Linked DNA regions of Tribolium castaneum. The protein of the gene in region 1 purifies or fractionates together with the protein of each later gene. This does not show direct contact. Links are inferred from orthologs where the notes say so. Each region holds a gene or a part of one and is shown on either strand. Other genes may lie near its edges.

Evidence for each region.
Region 2: the proteins of WD repeat-containing protein 20 (region 1) and Fbw5 purify together in Homo sapiens (co-immunoprecipitation; 3 studies listed by BioGRID and IntAct, counting the BioPlex papers as one, with this or other methods). This does not show direct contact. The link is inferred for Tribolium castaneum from reciprocal best matches to the Homo sapiens genes WDR20 and FBXW5.

The regions. Positions count from the first base shown.
Region 1 is NC_087396.1:10,863,603-10,874,591, forward strand, and holds WD repeat-containing protein 20, read left to right. Parts: upstream 1-4,149; 5' UTR 4,150-4,596; coding exon 4,597-5,955; 3' UTR 5,956-6,179; downstream 6,180-10,989. Other genes in the region: Csp18 (chemosensory protein 18 precursor), read right to left, coding at 279-475, 568-745; UDP-glycosyltransferase UGT5, read left to right, coding at 1,807-2,035, 2,084-2,676, 2,726-2,948, 2,996-3,215, 3,270-3,567; DppIII (dipeptidyl peptidase 3), read right to left, coding at 6,537-6,974, 7,027-7,395, 7,444-7,592, 8,048-8,573, 8,625-8,918, 8,962-9,295; arrestin domain-containing protein 5-like, read right to left, coding at 9,859-10,794. UniProt on the Homo sapiens protein: Regulator of deubiquitinating complexes. Activates deubiquitinating activity of complexes containing USP12. Anchors at the base of the ubiquitin-contacting loop of USP12 and remotely modulates the catalytic center of the enzyme.
Region 2 is NC_087398.1:9,097,486-9,108,474, forward strand, and holds Fbw5 (F-box/WD repeat-containing protein 5), read right to left. Parts: upstream 5,023-10,989; 5' UTR 4,923-5,022; coding exon 4,742-4,922; intron 4,693-4,741; coding exon 4,538-4,692; intron 4,413-4,537; coding exon 4,235-4,412; intron 4,183-4,234; coding exon 3,793-4,182; intron 3,535-3,792; coding exon 3,274-3,534; intron 2,339-3,273; coding exon 1,894-2,338; intron 1,846-1,893; coding exon 1,566-1,845; 3' UTR 1,414-1,565; downstream 1-1,413. Other genes in the region: uncharacterized protein LOC100141846, read left to right, coding at 986-1,100, 1,145-1,344; basement membrane-specific heparan sulfate proteoglycan core protein, read right to left, coding at 6,500-6,539, 7,252-7,615, 7,666-7,866, 7,923-8,059, 8,699-8,955, 9,002-9,555, 10,099-10,470, 10,519-10,927 and 1 more. UniProt on the Homo sapiens protein: Substrate recognition component of both SCF (SKP1-CUL1-F-box protein) and DCX (DDB1-CUL4-X-box) E3 ubiquitin-protein ligase complexes.

The DNA.
Region 1 (10,989 bases):
ACATCGCAAGCTAAAAACTGGTATAACGACTAATTTTCTTTATGTTTTTATATTATGTTTATGTCTAAATTCTATTCTATGCAAATTAAGTCAGTTATGAGTATAATAATAATTGGGAGGTATTTATTGAAAAGTTAGAGTAACTTTTCTACTGATGCAGCAGTATAGGTATACTAAGGACAACAAAAGAAATAAGTACCTAATGCTGTGTTCATAAAAACGTTGCTTTATTAAACAGTCCGCACAACATATTTACATCTACAGAAGGTACGAGTACATTAGACATGAATCCCATTTTTCTCTAGTTCATCTTTGTATTTGGATCTGTATTCTCCAGAAGGATCATATTTAGCTTCTAACTGCTTCCACATATCAGGTTTATTATCTATAAGGTGGTGCAAAACCTTTCTGACATTTGCTTTCACTTTTTCGTTACATTTTGCACAATCTGTACTAAGAGCCTCTGGTATTGTACCTAAAACGAATTAATTTTTGTTTGTTGTTTTTTTAAATAATTGCAATTTTTTTAAACTTTATGCAGATAATTATTAGTAAATGTGTACTCACTTTTAAGCTTTTTCCCTTCTGGCGTACATCTTCCTTTATCCAATAGGCAATTTACATAATTTTTCAGCAAACGTTCGTTACTGAGAATATCATCAATATCGATGTTATCAGGAATCACATACTCTTCCAGAAAAACAACATGAGCACATGTAAGAACTAGAAACACAGTAAAAAGCATTTTGGCTGCTTTACGTCTAATAAATTCATTTGAATTTGGAACCTTATTTATATAGAGATCATTGCTAGGATATACCAGGGAACAGGTTTTTTAACTTCATCAAAACAAATCTTGGACTTGTCGACAAGTGTGGTGACGCAAATTTTAATTACCCTATAACACATTATTAGGTTGTAATCGATTTTGTCGACGATATACTCTTTGAACTCTTTAATACGTTTTTCAAAGAAAGTATAGAAAGAAATGAGGTGAAAAATTAATTTACGTGTGTTGAACCATCCTTGAATTTTACACCTGGTCTAATTGTCTAATTCCTAACAATTAACAAGTTTTTGCCTAAAAATTAAAGTATTAAACAACACATGTCGGTTTCACGTCCCTACCTAATTACAAGAAAAATTAGGTTTTTTCATAATAAAATTAGATTCAATTTAACCATTTTTTGTGCTACTTGTTTTTGTTTACAAGCCAGTAAAAATAAACTGAAAAGTTGAATCAGAAAATTGTTAAATTTTGCGTCACCACTGTTTTGTAGAAATACGTACTCCTAATGCAAAAATGTAAAATAGTAAACTCATAAAAAGTTCATAATAATTTCAAATTAATTATGCAAATTATGCTACTCTTAACAAACGCCAAAGACTAAAAATATTTTATTTGGACTGAGTCCTTGAGGAGATGCAACAGACCCACAAACAAAGAAAAAAATTAATTAGTGCTTGCTTATTTTTTTAATTGTTGCTCACTAAGAATGAATTCAACAATAAAACCCTCATTTTTTAAGTATTTGTTCCATAAAATTTTAGTTCTAAAGTGATAATTTAATTTTTTTATCTATCTATTTGCCTTATTCTAGACATCATGCTATGAGTGTATGTGAGGTATTCTTATACTCAACAACTCACGGACAATAATTTCGTGTAATGTTTTTACGATTATTAACACGTTATCGCAGCATGAAGATATAATTAAACTAGTACTATTATTATAATATAAATCTTAAAACAACACGCTTTTATCCTATGTGTCAGTTGTAAATCCGACTCCGACCACACGAAATAATGTCATTAAAAGCACAAAGGTTGTTTTCATTATTTATTTTTACATCATTGGCACAAAATGTGTTTGGTGCGAATATCTTAGCCATTAATACACTTCTTTCCCCGAGCCATCACCTTTTCAATGATGTTTATTTATTTGAATTGGCGAAGAGGGGACACAATGTTACACTGTTGGGACACGATAAGGACAAACATAATCATCCCAACTACACATACATTGTCATGGAAGGTGAGTTCATTTTATTTTGTCGATAGTCCACTTGGCAAAATTTTGTAGGAGCTTATGAGAAAGTAAGAGATCAGTTTGATTTAATGGCAATGAAAGATATGTCCGATTGGGAAACAATTAAAAATTTGTGGTCATTTGCCGAAGTAACGTGTCTTCTAGACCAAAAAACAAAGGGTTTACGACAAATAACTAATTATCCAAACGATTTCAAATTTGATTTGATTATTGTGGACGTTAACTATGGACACTGCTTATATCCCCTCATAGAAAAATTCGGGAACCCTCCAATAATAGGAGTGAATCCTTTCATAAACCAGCCAAACTTGTTTAGAAATATTTGGCAAAGTTACATCCCATTTATGACACACTCTTTCGGGGCCCAAATAAATCTCTGGCAAAAATTAAAAAGTTTTTTCTTTATGTTACTGCTTGAAGTGTCAAGGCTCACACATTACATTCCCCGTCAGCAAGAATTGGCTTATGATTATTTTGGTCCGATGAAGTCGAGTATTTTAGAAATTGAGAAAAATATGAGCTTAATGTTAATCAATTACAACCCTGTTTTTAACTACGTTGAAGCTTTGCCCCCGAATATGATTCCAGTTGGTGGTTTACACATCCAACCGAAGCGATTACCTGATGTATGGTACATGTTTTTTTGGAAATTCTGATTTTATCAAAGTCTTTCAGGATTTAAAAGAAATTCTGGATAATGCGAAATTTGGTGCTATTTTATTTTCACTTGGCTCCAATGTACGGTCCAAGGAATTAGGCCCCGAACGAATTCAGGCAATTATCAATACTTTCTCAAAACTCAAACAAACCGTAATATGGAAATTTGAAAACGATAAACTAGAGGGAATTCCAGCAAATGTGCATATTCGGAAATGGGTGCCACAGAACGATATTCTCGGTGTTTTTTTCTATATTTCTTTTAATTATTTTAATTACTAATTTTAGGTCATCCCAATACAATTCTTTTTATATCACATGGCGGTTTGTTAAGTTCACACGAAATCATGTATAATGGGGTTCCAGTAATCGGAATTCCGTTCTTTTTGGACCAGTTACAAAATGTTGACACGTTTATTGCAAAAGGTGTCGGCGAAAAATTAAGTTTTTTTGAAATCACAGAACACAATTTATTTAAAGTCATTCAAAAAGTGTTAAACAACAATACGTAAGTTTGTTAATTGTAGTTGTAGCAAGGAAAATGTGAAATTAACAATTTTAGTTATATGGAAAACGCAAAAAAGTGGTCCGCGTTGTACAAACATCAAATGAACAAACCTTTAGACGTCGCAATATTTTGGATCGAATACATTTTAAAATTTAAGACTGCAGAACACTTCAATCTAGCTACAAGAAACATGAATTTCGTCGAATCTGCTAATTTAGATTTAGTATTTGTGTCTCTGCTTTCACTTGTGTTAATCTTACTCACTGTTTACTGTGCCACATATCTTATTTATAAATGCATCAGAAGAAAAGGTATTGCAAAGGAGTTGGACATTAAGAAAAAAATACAATAAATGTTGTTGCAACTTCCAATAAAAATAGGTACTTTTTTATGGTTTATTGCTATTAAATACTTAATTTTTTCCCTATGCATGCATGTGAATTTTTTCAGAATCTTTGCTCATTTCTTCATAATTAAAATTAATAGATTAATATAATGCCTGTTAAATCTTTGAAAAAAAAATTTCTTACGTAAATTTATTAACAAACAATGCCTAAAATAAGAAAAAATGCGGTAAAAATGCAGACTTGCCTTGTATATAGAGTTGTAAAATTGTAAGCATTAAATTATAGTATGTATTATTGTAATTAAATGTTTGTGTTTAGAGTTTAGACGCGGCAAAAAATTATTTTGTTCCCAAAATTATATGTTTCGAGCGTGTGGTAACCTCCAAGATAATAATCAAGTTTTATTGTAAAAATATATTGTAAACACAAATTAAGACTGGAATTATTAAGTCAAACTATGCTGCCCAATCTAATTATTTTTTAATTTTTATTGATTCAGCATATTGTTATAAATAATTCATCAGATACGTGTTACATCAACAGCGGTCATGTGTTATTTGCCCAGACAGTAGTTATCAATAACTAAATAAAACAATCAGTTCAACAATACCAAATGCATAAGAAATATTGATAAAATACATAGTAGAGTAGAGTAGTTAAAATAAAAATATGCTTTGACAAGACCGTAATAGTAAGAATAATGGCAGTCCATAGATTTTAATACTCTTATTTTACCATCCTTATAGGAATACCTGCATTTTATCCTAAATAGTTGCCCTACAGTGTTTTATTCCCAAACGGAAATAATGAATAATCAGTTTAAAAAAACCGCTCGCTCTCCTGGCGGGGATATTCCTTGCCCGCTATTGGCGTCTCTGCTTTTCAAATATTATTTATTTCCTAACCTCATTTTCCATGTCTAATTGCCACAAATAGACGAAAAAGTAGTGAATTAGCCTTACTACCAGCAAAAATGTGATAAAACCGCCCGAGCCACCGCTGCAATGCTGCAACGTCTTCACCTCGGCTCCTAAATGTGTGTAAATTGTAGAATTCGTCATAGAATGTCTTCGCGTATTTTGGCCCCGAAAATGGCAAGAGCAGACACTTTATGTAGTCAGTCGCTTCTGGAAGCGGGCGACCGCCCCCTCGAACGCCCGCTCGGGGGCGAGCCCGGCGACGTGAAGACCCAGTTCGTGACTCGCGAAGGCACCTACCGTCTCATGACCCTCAGCGAATACTCGAGGCCTAACCGAGTCGGTTATCAGACTCAGGGGCAAACGCCGCCCCAGGTGCGTGTCTCCCTTGTCACGCTTCCGGACCAGGGGGAGAGAATTTGCTTCAACCATGGGCGGGAGCTGTACGTTTACGTGTACAAAGGGATCAAGAAAGCGGCCGATTTGAGCAAGCCCTTGGAGAAGAAGGTGTACAAAGGGACGAACCCGACGTGTCACGATTTTAACATCGCGTCAGCTTCGGGCGAGAGCGTCAGTCTCTTGATCGGCTTCAGCACGGGTCAGATCCAGCTAATTGACCCGATTAAGAAAGAATTGAACAAATTGTTCAACGAGGAGCGGCTTATTGACAAAACGAGGGTTACATGTTTAAGGTGGGTGCCGGGAAGCCGGTCGTTGTTCCTAGCAGCGCACGCCTCAGGCCAGTTGTATGTGTACAATGAGGAGCTCCCGTGTGGCTCGGCAGCCCCCCATTATCAGCCGTTCAAAGTGGGGGAGGGCTTCAGTGTGAGCACTTGCAAGACGAAATCGACCCGGAACCCTCTTTTCCGGTGGCTTCTGGGCACCGGAAGCGCCATTAACGAGCTGGCGTTCAGCCCCAGTGGGGCCCAACTGGCCATAGTGTCGCAAGATGGGCAGTTGCGGGTGTTCCAGTACGACAGTATGGAGCTGCTGGGCACCGCCCGCTCGTACTTCGGGGGGCTGCTCTGCGTGGCGTGGTCTGGCGACGGGCGCCTGATTGCAGTGGGGGGCGAAGACGATTTGGTCACTGTTTACTCCATGGAGCAGAAGCGGGTCGTCGGGAGGGCGCAGGGGCACCGCTCGTGGGTGGCCGCCGTGGCGTTTGATTGGTTCCTGGAGGCGGAGTCGTGCTACAGGCTGGGGTCAGTGGGGCACGACACGCAGTTGTGTCTTTGGGAGCTGCCCGAAGACGCGTTGACGACTCCTTCGAAACCGAAGGTTAAGAGAAGGTCGGATCCTTTGCAGCTGGTGGGGACACCGGCCTGTCCCAGGCTGGACGAGTGTCCGGTGTTGGAACCTTTAGTTTGTAAAAAAATTGCTCATGAAAGGTTGACTGCTTTGGTTTTTCGACCTGATTGTATCATTACGGCGTGCCAAGACGGTTATGTGTATACATGGGCAAGGCCCCCTTCCTGAATATGTCGTATTTTTCTAATTAGATTTTTATTCAACTTTTATACATAGTAGGGGCAATAACAGGTGGATAAAACTGTGGAACCAAAGTGTAAAATAGCAAACGCTTGGTTGCATTTTTTCACCTGATAGCATGTAAGTGTAATTGATGGATGTAGAATCTGTTGCATAATTGGTGTGATTTTTCGTAATTTTATCATTCGTAAATATATGAAGATATTTTGAAACTTGTATTTCATTTTAACCCTTTTTCCAAATAAAATCCTTACAAAATAACTCGCTTTTTTGTATCAAAAGGCAATTGAAGGCGCTTCAAGCGTTAAATTATCTCGGCTCTAAACTGATTTAAATTTACTAACTGCAAAAAATGGCCGTAACGTTGAGCATCAAATTCTTAATAAGCTGAGAAAACTGACGAAAATTTTAGTTTCACGACAAACGGGAGAAAAAATTTGAAGCATCATTATTATTACTAGCCGTCAGGGATGGGGTAGGTTGGTTGAATAAAATTCCCAAAGTGCAAAGAATCATTTTATTGTTTATAAAGCATCGTATATAATCTAATAATTAATCGTTATTAAAAATTAAATAAAATAGTGCTCATTAGAGGCACTTAAATCTATCAAAGCCTGATACAAGGGCTCGGGATTCGGGAACCGTTCAGTCCACGACTGGATCATCCCTTCCGGGGTTTCCCCATACGTTTTCAATTCGACGTTCGAACTCAACACAGTATTAGCCTGCGCAAAAATCTTCCTTGGTTGCTTGTTGGCCAAAACAATCGCGCGCCAGCTCAACCACGGCTCACACACTTCGGAATAATGTTGGTACAAATTCTGAGCTGCTTCGATATTCGCCGTTGCTTTGTAAACTTGCAACTGGAGCAGAAAATGAGCGATGGCACTCCGACCGGCGCCTTTCAACGCAGCACGGTCTAGAGTGACCAAAAGATCGCCGTCACTGGGCTGTGTGACACTCGCAACACCGGCTTGAATCAGAACACGCGCCAGCACGAATCGGGCCTAAAAAACATTATTTGAGCAATTTTCCCGCTTGAAATTAAATTTAAATCACCTGGGAGTGGGCTTGGAGCCATCCTCGCTTCGGATCCCACGTTTCCAAAGCCCGGCCAATGCCGTTCCAAACCAAAGACAACCAATTCACATAGAGGACATCCTCGGCTTCTTGGCCTTTGTGGCCGAAAATTTGCAACACTGCCGGTTCCAGACTTAAATATAAGCCAACCGCTTCAGCTCGGCATTCCTCGTATGAAGAGCTCATTGGGCCAAAACGCGAATCGTAGGTGTCCCCAGGCTCGTAGTACGTGGATGGGGGTTTCCCCGTCAAGGGGTCCAACAGTGTGTTTGGGTAATTGAACGTTCCATCGGCGGCACGATAAAATATTTTGCCGGAACCGTGACCTAGCAATTCGTGAAGGCCCACCTAAATATTTCCAATTTATTTTTTTTAACGTTGGTAATAGGGCATTACCTGTAATTCGAAGGAAGCAACGCGATATTTTTGGATCAATTGTGTATCAGACTCGTTCAAGAATGGAATCACAGACATTTGATAACTGGCTGGTATGACGTTTCCTAAAGAGACGTTCTTGAAACCCTCGCTTTGCCGGATATCGTCGTCTGAATAACAAAAAATACCAGTTGCATTTAAATGAGTAATAATGTCTATTATATCGACGTAAAATGATAAATGGTTTATATTTGAAAATATTGAGCAACTAAATGAAGTTGTTTTAATAAATAAACATAGACAAAGTTTCAATTTCTTCTTCTGGTTACAATCTTTGCTGCGAGAGATACGACATACGCGTATTATTTCAGTTAAAAGGTCATTATTTTTGTCAGATTTCGCTAAACCCCACCGCTCACAAAGCAAATTATTTTTGAAGAAACTTGGCCAGATTTCAAAACGTTTTCGCTGTGTAATACTTTTTTATACATTTTTTTTCTCTCCATAATCATTAAATAAGCTGAAAGGTGTTGCATTTAATAAATATTTAAAAAATATGGTAATATTAACTGTGCAAAATGTTAAAAAATTATTTGATAGCCGCATGGGACAGTAAAACACTCACAGTTGGGAATGTTAATCCCGGCCGGTATTCCGCTGGACGCAAACGTGAGCACATCAAGCGAGGTAAAATCGGGCCTCAAAAACTTGTCTTTTTCGAACCCTTTAGGCCACGGCAACAAGGGCAAAAACTCCTCAGCTTTGGAGACCAAAGTTGTGAATTTGGCCGACATTGCGCGATTCACGATCGCGACAAACCCTTCAAATTCGCCCCTAATTCCGGCCGGATCTCTGTAGGTTTCTATGAAGCCAATGTAGGTTTCCACAGCTGGGCCCTTGTCCTTAATCCAGTGCCGAGACCCATCTTTGTGAAGGTCCAAAGAACCCGTAAGAAACGACTGGGCGTAAGCTTTTAACATTTTGGCCTGAGTGGGATTGGCAGCGTATTTTGACGCTTCCTCCAGACTTTCGGCGACTTTTCCAATAATCGGCGAATAGTCGCCTTTAGTTAGGCGAAACGTCATGTTCCCGTAGGTTTCTTTCGAGATTTCGCCGGTTTCTTTCGAAGCCAACCGAATTTCGTAATCAATCTATGATTTTTATTAACAAAAACCTACAGTTTTTTTGACTGTTTTAATTACCTTCCCATCCGGGAGCACAGTTTTGAACAAACGCGTGTTGTAGCCTTCAATATTCTGGGTCTTCATCCAGTCTTGCACCCTTTGATTGTCCTCAGGCGTGCAGTTTTTCGACAAGTAGGTGGTGCACCCATGGGGGGCATACCCTAGGCATGTCTTACCAGGGCTAAGGTCATACATAGCGTTCTTCACCTTCGCCCACAATTCTTTAATTTTGGGCCAAACAGGAGTAGCCGCAAGGAGCGACTCAAGCCTGTCCTGTGCTATCCCCGGGACGAATTTTGAGTCCCCAAACCCCTAAATCATCACATTGAAAACAAGCAACAAATGGTTTCATCACCTTATAATTCCCAGCGTTACTGAAAATTCCACACGCGTAAACCAGGAACGCCTTGGCTTCATCTTCGCTAAACCCAGCCTGAAGGGCTACTTTTTTGAAATCCTGAGGCTTAAGACCTGAGAATAGTTTATGCAAAAGGACAAAAATTGGTCCAGATTCTGGGCTTGTTTGTAAGAAAGTTATTAGGCCCCCGGTCCAGGACGCTTGACTTATGTGATGAGCGTATCTCTTCTCCGTGTCAGTCAGTCCCTTAAATGCTGAGGCAACTTCTAGGGTCACAATAGGTTGGTCTAAGGGCAGGATGTGTTGGGATTTATCAAGTTCAGAACTCATTCTGAAAGTAAATCAATTTGTGTTGTTAAAACTACAAAATCAGAATAAGTGTCGCATACTTTCAACAATCAACAAAAACTAGGACAGATAACAAGATAATTGTTTGATAATTCACACTTTTGACGAGACAACAGGGCACAATTACAGGTTTGGAAAGGTTAGGTGTGGATGACTTGTATTGTGGGTGTTCTGATTTAAAAATGTAGAGATGTGATTGGTGGAGCCGCAAATGTTTAAAAATACTGATAAGATGTAGCCAATCGCATCAAAAGCTGCATTTTTTGTATTTATAAAACTTTCAATAGCATATGCAACCGCTACTGTCGCACCTTATTGTTGGTTGCCTATATAACACCTTACCACCAGAAATTGTAATTAATTTAATTATTAATTGAATCATTACTTAAATTGCAATTTCCATATTTGTTTAATTTAGAATTTTTAATTTTTTTATGGACCAATGTGATCATTTGAATTATTGATTAATATATACCGACTAAAAAAATGGGTGTTTAATAATAATCGGTACTGCTTAAAGCAAAAACGAATTAGTTTATTAAATAATTATTTCACTAATTTAAAACGGAACTGGCTTACGCACCCACTGAAAAAGTGTCCCATTTCTGGATGGATTTCAATGGCGAAATTTCGAATAAAGGGGGGCATTTGGCACCATATTTTCAGCGAAAACTCTAGTTTAATCAGAGTACAGGAAAACAAATTCGGTATATCCAAGACTTTCGGGAAATTTAATCTCAAATCATAGGTGTGTTCTTTATAAGCACCGATACCTTCCTTTTTGAACTTCAGTATCGTTTCGACATGTCTCTTACTTTTGTTTTTGGGATTGACCGATTTAAACTTGACTCGTTTCAAAAATTTAACTTTTAAATTCTTTACAGTCTGATTAGACTCATTCCTCACGTAAATTTTAACATCAACAACGTCGCCGGGCACGAACGCAATCCGAGGCACCCGCACTTGCATCACCAATTTCCCTTCTTTGCCGTATTTCCAGCGCTTGAATTTCGTTTCGTTGTAATAGATTTTCTCTCTTTGAAAACTCCTAGTTATTCCGTAAAGTTCAACTGGGGATTGGACCACAACTATTGACGTGTCTATGAAATCGTTCCAAATGAAGGGAATTACGGTCCCTGTTATCAGATAAAACACTTTTCCGTAAGTGTGGGTGAACGTTGATGGCAAATAGCGAGGTATGAAAATGCGAAAGGGGTAAGCGAATTCTCCTGTACGGTAGGTTTTGACTCCCCGTTTCGCGGTAAAAATGATTTCTTCGTGGGAGTAAATTACGTTGTAATTGTCGTACTTTACAAAGCGAAGACATCTGTTCCATTTCACGTATTCGATGCAATCTAATCGAATTCTCACACTTCTGACTCTAATATTGTGCTTGCAAAAGCACTTAAATATTCCAGAGATGTGGGAGTCGGTGTGATATGTGGCTTTCTCATTATCGAGTAAAATTTTGCATTGAAACATTGTAATTCTCTCACGCAGGACGAAGACCAAATGGTCCTTTTTTCGATAGTACGTCTACCTAGTCAGCAACACTATCACATTTACACTTATTTAATATTTTTGTATGACACTACTTAAATTATTTTAACCTTAAAAGACTGACACAAAACCATAGCAAACTTTCAGTTATTGCAAACAAAACCATTCGTATTTTTT
Region 2 (10,989 bases), on another chromosome or scaffold:
TGACGTGTTAACAGTACAAACCCGTAAATAATAAGAAGGTTAAACTAATTCACATGATTTGTTACACGCCATTTTTAAATTGTAATAAATCATTTTTGTTTTTGTATTTTATTTTTCAATCCGTTCAAGTTTATTCTCATCGCTAAAACTGTATTGTTTTTTTTTTATAATTAAGTGCAATTGTAATTAAATGGTTAATCTTTTTTTTAACTTCCGATGTGCGTTTGCGGGCAGCTGCGGTTTTTTCAGATGGACAAATTTTTCCGTTAGATTTTGCAAAAAGGACAAAAATTATAAACTTTGGTCGCAAATTTTATTTTGTGCTATTTTAGACCATTCACCAAGTTTTTGTACGAAGAACTAAATTAGGTATTCACGCTTTTTAACATGTATTTTTAAAGCAGACGCGCAATTATGTTGCTAAATTTTATCCAAAATAACTACAAATTAGGTTGAAAATGCAGACTTGTGAGGTAAAGGTATGTATTTCTGTTGTTTTTTTTTTCGAAACCTGATAATAAATCGCTAATTAAATGACGTTATTTTCCTATTTTTTTATTATTTATTTATGGTGTTACGCTACGGCATGTCTCACTAAAGCGTAACACGCTTTATAAGGCATATCATATGGAGTCTTAAAAACAAGAATTTCAGGAAAGCATTACCAGAAACTTTCCTGAGTAAAAATATTTCTCCTTAATAAAAAAAATTAATAATTGTAATTGAACAGATAATTGATTATAGTTTTTCATTTACTTGAATTATTTATTTATTTATTTAATTGTTAATCGACTAAACATGCTATTCGGTGGCCATCATACGTCATATCATAGAGTACTGTAGCAACGTTTTCTTTGTACACAATAAAATTTTACAACAGACAATGGTGTTTTTCCTGAGCGATTGGGGTAATCATGATAAAAATTTAATGGTGTACAAAGAAAACGTTGCAAGAGTAAATAGTGATAATTTCAAGCTCTTGCAGGATCATGAAGTGCCTACACTTAAGCTGAGGCTAACTAAACCCAAGAGTGACAGAAAAGTGGAGTGGACAACTGAAACAGTAGACAACGAACATATGAATAAAAAGAAATCAAAATGTAGGTGTTTGTTCGTGTTATCGTGTAAAGTTTCAGTTTTGTAGGTTGTTGTATATATAAAAAACCGCGAAATTTTGATGAAAGCAGTTCGGAGGAAGGATCTGATGACGAGTGTGAGCACTGTAAAGGTCATGTGGAAAAAAAGAAGAAGAGGCATCAAACTCAAGATGATAGTAACACAGATGGTAATAAGGGCTCTGATGAAAGTATATTAAATAATAACAACGAATCTCACGAGGTGTGAAAACATTAAAGTATTACAATATTTATGACCAATATTTAGGACTTTATGAAAAATAAATAAGGCAATATATATTTTTTTATTTTCATATATTCAAGATTATGTTAGTCATAAAAACATTCCTTCATATTTGGACGGATAAACTAATAAGTTAAAAGTACAATCAAACGACTCGAAAAACTGGATTATGTTCACACGAAGACACAATTATTGCCACCACAACCTCATATCCTCCTTATGCCGGCGTTGCATCTTAACTTATCTTTCGTTCGACTTCGTCTAAACTCCACACCTTTTGGAAACTGCGTTTCGCTCAATTTCAGTTCTCTCACTTTGGCCCTTGACCTCCACACCTTAATGATGTGATCATCTGACGTAGTAACCAACATTTCCGGGTCTTTGGGATTAAATGCTACGGAATTAACCACATCCGAATGCGGGAACTTAACTAAACACATGCCGTAGTGTCGATCCCACAAGTACCCATGCTTATCTTCAGCGCCACTGAAAACACTTGCATGCAAACCTGAAAATGTTCATAAGCCCTCTCACCTCGCCACATACTGGTTGCAAACGTCCAAAAATATAAAAAAGCACTCGCTGTTGGAAGTGTACGCCTTGTGCGCTCGTAGCATAGTACCGACTTGTTTCAAAGTCACTAAGTCAATAACGTGGATGTCGATTTCTTGTGCAATCGGGGGCGGATCCAAGGGATTCGATATTTTGTACCCTTCAGGCCAGGATCTGCTGTTGACGTAGAGGTATCTGTGGTCAGGACTGAGGCCCATTCCGACGATATGGCCATGTAAATCAATCACATGGTCGACTTTGTCAAATTTATCGGCCACTGAGTCGAAATCTAGCCAGTTTGGCTCGGGGGGCGGCGAACCGGATTTTAAAAGCTCGCGTTTGCGTTCACGCAGAATTATGCGTTCTTTCAACGAGGGGCCCGGGTCCAAGCGTTTAGGGAAAGCGAACGGTTTTATCCGTTTAAAGCCTGAAAATAGGTTGGTTTTCGTTCAAGGAAATTTCCTGATACGGGATAATACTAATCATTTTTTAAAATTTAAAACGATAAATATAACAAACACAGGTAAATCTAAATTAATGATTTAAAAAAGATGATTTTGGATCACAATCGCATTTTTGTTCCTTCGCGTTTTAAATACATATTAGACAAGTTTATAATTTTTCGCCGATTGTTAACAAAATAATTTCTTCTTTTTTAAGGTTTTGATTGATTACGTGGTACTTATCTAATTATATTCTATCTATTTATTCCCCATTCTGTCACTTTCTCACAAAATTTGTCACTAAAGTACTGTTGTAACTACGGACGACTATAAATTCTGTACAGCTTTCTTCCTAGCATTTTTCTTGCATCTGTAACCGTATTCGCAGCGTTTTAAAAAATATGGGATAGAGTACAGATTGGTAAAAGTTTTAATTTTTTTTAAACATAGTTTACGACAAATGTTTGCATTATGTTTACGTCTTACTGTTGAGAATTTAATGCTCTATCTGCCTGATTTTTTTTTGTTTGCTAGGTAGGTGTTAACCATTTTTACAAAGTCATTGCTCTGAAAACTTAGACAGTGATAGAACAACTGGGCCCTCTGCCGACATTAGTGGAACTATCGAGGACGGGAACGTTTTATTTGTACGTCGTTTCGTATCCTAATCTTTAAATAGCCGTAGTTGTAACACAAAACGAAGTAAAGAAAAGGATAGACAAAAATAAGCTCATTAATTGATAAGATGTTTTAAAATGAAAGTGTTGTGTTGTTTCGGCGATTTCGTACGTCTTTTTAATTTTTTAGTTGAATTATTATTCTCGTTATGCTTTACGAATAGTTTGAAAACTGAAAAGCAAACAACTTTACTTTGTCGTAATTGTTTTTTGTTTTAATGTCTTTTTATTTTATTACGTACCTATCTGATGAGGTGTGTATGTTTTAAAGCCCGTTGTAAAAATTAAATATTTATCGTTTTGAGTGAGTTGATCTGAGTCTTCTTCAGAACCTTCATCATCACAATCATCCTTGCCAGTGTCATCATCTTCCGTTTCTTCCTCAGACTCATCTATTAGCATATTCTCAGATTCAACTTTGCGATAATCTGAATTATACCAAATCGGATTTCCTAAGTCTGAGCCACTTGCAGTTTTTTTGGCATCAAAAGAAATAGCACTGCCTAAAATATTCAAATTTACTTAAACTTGCAACAATTACGGAGGACTAAAAAGTTAGGAGGCGACTCATTTCTGTTAGTTCTACATTGCATTGTTTTTTGCAATTGTATTTGCCCATCAAGTTTTAAAAAATATAGATCGGGGTTTCTCAGCTTGTTAAGAATTTAATTTTCTTTTTTTTTTCTTTTCAAACAAAGGGTTATTTTGAGTCTTTTTCCCTCCTTGTTGTTAGTCCTACGTTTCGCGTTTTAAATTATTACCAGAAGAACTGTGTGTGCAGGGAACCGCATTTATGTCTCTATGGCTTACAGGGTTCCCGTGCTCAAATGTGCTGTTTTTATTTTCAGACGGTCCGACCTCAACTTCGGTTTCTTTGGTCTCTGTCGCAAGTTCAGAATTTGGAAGACAGTTGGCGATCATTATCGCTCTAATTGAACTTGCATTTCTGTTATAAAACCGAAACATGTTATGAGTTATCGGGACATGCTCTGATTCAGCCTCTTGTGATGCTTTATTTAACCATAACGAGGACGTACTAACTAAATGTGCTAACCAATGTAAGTCACCTGAGAGTAAGTGTTGGTCACTGTACCAAGTGCCATAAATATCATATGGCTTATTGACGACTCGACATTGCAACTCAAACCCAGCTAAAAACAACGTAATTGGCACACTTGAGTCTGTTGCAACGTAATTTATTACCGAGTAAATTAAATACTGCAATTTCGCCTGAAGTACTATGTGGTGTACCAAAATGAACTCCTGATACAAGAAGCAGAGTGTCAGATTCATTAAACTGTGAATATTGTGTGTATTTCCAGGAAAAACTGTTCATATCTCGTGAATATTTTATTTCAACTGGATATGTGGAGTTCCATAGCTTCAATAAGAAAAGTTAAGAGTGGACGACATGGTCAAAGTGGCCTGTGGCCAATTTTCAGTCACAGGCGCCTTTGATCGTGAATTTAATAGAAAGCGCTGTATAGCTCTAAATGAGATTTTTACCAGGACATAGCCATCCTTTGAGCATGTGGCAAAGTATTTGCCGTTGTGTGAAAAACTGACATGAAGGACTTGATGTCGATGATCGTGTAATGTCTCTGTTTGGACCACTGGAACATTGTAAGATAGTCTTTTGAATTCCTCATACCAAGTTCTTTCTGCAAGCGATTAAATTATTGATAAGCCGTATTATGTTTCTTGTTTTACCAGAAACTATCGGTACAGATTTATCGACAAGAAAGTTCTCAAAGAACAAGTCTTTCCAGAGAAAATCATCTCGACTAACCTCACACCAGTTATGACAAACTTCACTTACACGCACTAATTCTTTATAATTCAAGTACTGGAAGATTTTGTATAAAGCAGGATAGGGTAAAAAAGCCCACATAATCCTCCTCTTTGTTTTATTATTTGTTTTTTGTGATTGTGTTATTTATTTACTGTCGACATTGACAGAGGCTAACGTCAAAAACAGCTGATTTGTGTCTGAGGTTCCAAATAAATAATAAACGATTAAACAGTATTTTTTATAAATACTAAATCATTTATACAGTAACATGCTTTTTTGGGAGAGCTCCATTTTGTCCGAAGTTTTTTTATCCAAAGCAAAATAAGCATCCGCATTTTTATCCACCGAAAAAAAGTCCATAGAATCACTCTATGTAGATAGGATTCCGCCCTTACCGACATCAGTTCTAAACTACAGCGCCACATAACAAATTGTGATGGAACTGAATCTATTAGCGGGTTATTCAAGTACGCCTTTAAAGCATCCTTTGTACTATGAAATTTGTACGTTTTGTTATTTTGAAATGGGATATATATCTCAGTTCTTAGTAGAATTTTGCAACAGCGCATTTGTATTTTTCGGAGTGAATATTGGTTTTTATTATTACTTCTTAATACGTACCTATTATAATCACTGATTAGTGATTATTGAGCGGCAGAACCAGTGGCAGTGAGAAGTGAGACTTCCCCTTGAATTACAGATACAGCACTTTTGCGAAGGAGATAATAAAAATGCGTCAGTTTTACATACATTTATTCAATAATTATTGTCTTCAGTTATTGAAAATGCACTTATAACAAATAGTTAATTACAAACAATACGTGTTATTAGAAGGCATTTATTTATTCAACGAGATTCAACACGCTCAAGATGGGAGAGCTTTAAATGCCATCCAATAAACGAATTTCACGGTTATTTCTTAGAATTTAGGCAATTTATACAATTGATTTATTATATATATAATTTCTCCACATAATTAGTGTTTTTCTTTTTAGTCTATAGAGAAAGAAAAAATTTAAAGCACTTATAAAACATGTTTAGCCTATATAACTATATATAATTATATTTTATTGTTAATCACCATTGCTGATACGTTTTTGTTTCGTTTTGTAAAATCACATTGTATACATTTTCATTTGAAAAAGTAAAACTGACTGGTACAATTAATCAAAACATGAAAATGTAAGCAACATATGGACAAAGAAAGCACAGAAGAGTATAACTTGTATCAACAAAGCCTTTATTCATAATAATTTGTTAATAGCACCATTAAAAATTAAAAGACTACACTAAAAGTCGAAAGATGATTTTTTCATAAATTACATATTGGACCTTATTTTTATGTACCCTTTTAAGTATACATTGCTCTTCAACAGTTATTTTCTTACTAAACTATCCCTAAAATGGCACAATTTTTTAAAGATAAAATCATATAAAAAAGATTATAGTATATGTATAAAAAAAGAATCGACCAGAAAAATGGCAGTTAAAAGAATAGAAAGTTATTCCATTGGGGGAATAAAATAAGGTTGGCAAAATGCTAATTTACTGTGCTTTTAACCAATTAACATTTTGCTGTTTGTAATGATCTTGAATAAAATAAAATGAACACAAATAAGTGAACACTTGTTGGACAACTAAATCGACTGCCCTTAACTTAAAACTAGTAGTCGTTCTCAATTCACGAGGTCATTTTCGTCATATAGGTCATCGAAGCTGAAACAGAAGTACAAATTAGTAACAGAAAATAAATGTATGCAGGATCTGACTTGTTTAAAATTGATATCTTCTTACCTAAATATGTACAATCCACTAGAGGTTGCAATAATTGGATAAAAAAGCGTCAGTCTATATCATGTAATTAACGGTAATAAAATATTTACCTTCAAATTGCTTATTTATGTACAATTTTTAACATTTCTACAATTCGACCTAGTCAACATAATCTTTTGGAATAGATATAATTGGACTTGTTTTGATATGTTATAATTTTAGAACAAACTTATGTTTCGTTATTAGTCTATTGTCTAGCACATGAAGTTATTGCGATTATTTACGTAATAAAATGCATCAGTTCATTTAGTCAAATGTCTGTCAGCAGTATTTGTATGCAGCAAAGGTATATGACGTGATAGAAATTAAGACAGGGACGTTGATGCGACATACTGGAGGGCTTTGGATGGATTATGTTAACAGGAGGGGGCTCAACAATTTCATCAAACTGATCCGAATCAGCAAAAATCAACGAGGACGGAATCCACCGTATTCTTCAATAAGCAGCGTGTAAAGTTTTCAATTAGTCAAAAAAATCACCGCATTTCCATGCATTTACGGACACATGCTGGTAATTTATTTATTTAAATTTATGTTTGAGTGTGTGTCCGATGGTGCATAGAACTCGACCTAGATACAAGTTTAAATTACTCACCTAGAGCATGGTTTAACATTAACTCCCGAGATCGCTCTTATTCCCAAATCAAGTGTTTTCAAATTTTGTAGCTCGAAAGCGTGAACGCATCCGTCAAAGCCATGGCTAAACCTCCTTCCAGTCATGAGTCCGATATTCGGGGCTCCCCCCAGGTATATGTTTCCAGCGCATGACAACGTGTTTGTAAAACCGGGGGATTCACCCGTTTGGGTGTACGCATTGTCGATTTCTATAGAACCAACGCGACCTCTGCGTTTCAAAATGGCACTGTGTCTTTGCCCATCATCTACTCTCTTCTGCGTGTTTCTGATTATCGCAGGACCTGAGCCTAGGTCGTAACTGAACTCCAAGTATCCGTTTACAACTGCAAATAAACATGTGTTAATTTGGCAATTGATGCAAAAAATAACGAACCTCCGAGAGAAATATAATTTTTCCCTTGGCCATCTTCGTTGGGCGTTTGTCCGTGCCAAAAGACCAGACCGTCGCTCGAATTTGTGGACAATTCCACTGCTATTAGTTCGTCTTCGTTCTCTTTGATGTGATCGAGGAGATCGCGGTCGAATTCCAGGTAGCCTTTGCCGTTAAAATGTGCGTCGTTTCTTAATTCAACACCTACGAACAAATCAGTCAATATACTCCCAGTTATTATTAAATTTTGGTTTACTTACGGAGTTCACAATTTTTTCCAGAGAAGAGAAGTGGGCAACTGCACTCGTATCCTGTTGCGTTTCCACTGCATGTGCCTCCATTCTGACATGGTATTTTTTGCTCGCAGATATTCATTTCAATTTCGCAGTCTTTACCACTGTAAAAAAATGGGATTTTTTTATGTTTTGAATTGTTGCATGTGCACAAAGTGTATTTTTTTCTGCATCATCATATTAAATATTTCGCTAAAACGTAAACTGCTTTGTCCAAAATTATTTGCTTAAGAAATTAATTTCAGGGAATGGACCTTGTATATTTTCAGTAGATACATAAAAAAACGTTAAATGATAAAGTCGTTACAAAAATCAATGATTCAGACAAATATCTTTGTTTCCCGCCTCGCACCTAGTTATCTCACAGATTATATTTTTTATTAGTGACGTTTTATCGTTATTCTTACACAATTATTGTGCCGTTTAATTTTATTCAGTTTGTTACTTGTTGTTGTCGCGAACGGACGCCTCAAATAAAATCAGAATTTTGAGGTTTAAAAGTTTCAAATTCGTTGAATAGTGCGTGTTAATGCGGCGAGTGTGTGATAGGAGGTATCGATACTAACTATTGTTGGTTTCGAGGTATGTAGAGATGTAGAATGTGTGTTATTATATTATTAACATCTTGTTCTAATTTTCGTTTTGATATATTTTTAATATCTTGCTACAAACTGTAGCGGAAGAAAGTCAATGAGGTCTTTTAAAATTAAGAAGATACGTTTAAATAAAAAGTGGTAGTTTACCTGAATCCACTCAAACAATTACAGTTGTAATCCATTGGTGACAGGGGGTAGCACTGCCCACCATTCTTGCAGGGGTTGCTCGAACACCCGGTCCTTCTGCTATTATACGGTTGCGAAGTTGTTGGTGTATTTTCATGAACGTATTCAAATCCACCGACATTGTTATCGACCTCGTTATCCAAACTACTGCACTCCATAACATTTGCAGAATCTTCAGCAGAATTTATAACATCCAAATCCAAGCCAGACATCTTAATCTGAAAATACAATTTCACACAACTGGCGTAAAATAACCGCACTAACCTCCGAAATACAGCCGTTGAAGCCCGAATGCACCCCAACCTTATCGTTAATCTTAATATTTTCGCTGTCATAACCGCCAACATACAGCCGCGTTAGCAAATTCAGCGTTTTGTGGTTGCCTGGTGTCGTTCCGAAGGTCGTTTCCCCATCGACGATAAGTCGTCCCTCGCTTAAGCTCCTTGTCGCTGTCAGGACATGCCACTCCCCAGGTCTCACCTCTTTCTCGCTGCGGATGGTCACAGGGCGTCCTCCCACGTTGAAGTTGAATTCAATGTGACGGTCTTTGATGGCTAAACTGACGAAATCGCCATGCCCTTCGTCTGTTTCAGCACAGTACAGTAGTATTCCGTCGCGGTTGTCCGTCGGTTTGATTTTCAGAGCGGCTTTGAAACGCCTTTGCAGCTTCGGTACCGGGTATGCGATGTAAGCACCGTTGCTGAAGGCCGGCTCATTTACGGAAATTTCTCGCTCACAACGCCGGCCTGCACGGCCCATGGGGCACAGGCAGTCGAAGCCGCTGTCGTTGTCCAGGCATCGGCCGGTTCCGCAAGTGTCTAAAGTTAAACTCAGTCCATATAACTGATTTTTACAAGTTTGAACGCAAGATTTTTTCGGAAAATGCTTTACCAGTCTTTGAAGTTCTATTATGAGAATAATTTTGATCTTAACTCTCCGTTATTAGAGTCCCCAAGGGCACAGAAATAGCAAGTGAACTGTTAAATTTTTTGAAAGCTGAGTTGATTATATTATTGTGAATTGCTAATTGAGATTGACCTTCTTAAGGAAATGTCCGGACATCCATTCGTAATCAAATTACATCATAATGTAGCAATGTTTCTTTGTACACCATTAAATTTTATTTATGATTACCCCAAACTTCAAGGACCGTTCAAGTTAATCACTTAGGCAAGCCCTTTGTGTGATCGGTATCGTAAATATTTTCGGGTAACCCTTGTCGAAACATCTTATCTTAAACACAATTATCTGTTGTAAAACTTTTTGGTGTACAAAGAACGTTGCTACAATAAAAATGTATGTAAATTTTTTGCAATGCTTTTCTTGCAAAAATTTGACTGCTTGTTACTGAAAAAACTTACAAGGTGAGCAGGCTTCCCCTTTTAGCTTTTCGCAGTTGGGCCCGCTGTAGCCCGGGGTGCAAATGCAGGAGTACCCTTCGGGAGACAAGGCCTCCTGGCAAACGCCCCTATTTTTGCACCTATCGTGCGAGCAAGTCTCACACGTGGTGATTCCGTGCTTGGATTTGGCTTGTTTGGTGATATCTATGTGGTTATAACCGATCTTGAACCGGCTGATGCAGCCCACAAAACCGTTCGAAACTCCAACTTCGGGGGAAATTTCGTCAAAATCGGGGACTCCACCCAGATACAACTGTTCGGAGAGGTCGAGACCGATGTATTTTCCTTCGGCGTTGCCGATAAATGGTCCCGTACCATCGACGAACATTGTGACTGGAAAAATGAATAATTATTACACGTCTCACCGTTTGAGGAAATTACCCTTCTTTCGGTATCTTATGATTTTAATGGTGTGCCATTCGTTGAGCGTTACCGGACGATCGGCCGTCACAGTCGCAACACCACCACCTAAATTAAACCTAAACTCGGGAACGCCATTCACGAGCGCAAGTGAAATAAAGTCGCCGTTTCGGTCACTACCCTTATCGCCGTTATAAAGTAACAAACCGTCGCTGTTTTGCGGTTTAAACGAAATTTCGAAATTGAATTGTATGTATAAATCGACCGTATTTTCGAGCGCGATGTAACTGGTGGGTGCTTGGGCGAAATGTGGCACTATTCCAGTGACGGTGAGCACCGTAGTTGTGTCAATTTTGCGATCACCGTTGTTTTGTGTGCAAGTGTAGACACCGGCGTCCATACTGTTGACTTCGTTTAGTTGAATGGAGCGCTAGAAAAACAAGTAAAAAAAACGCCCAACACAATTCACACTTACGCTATGCACATCAACGT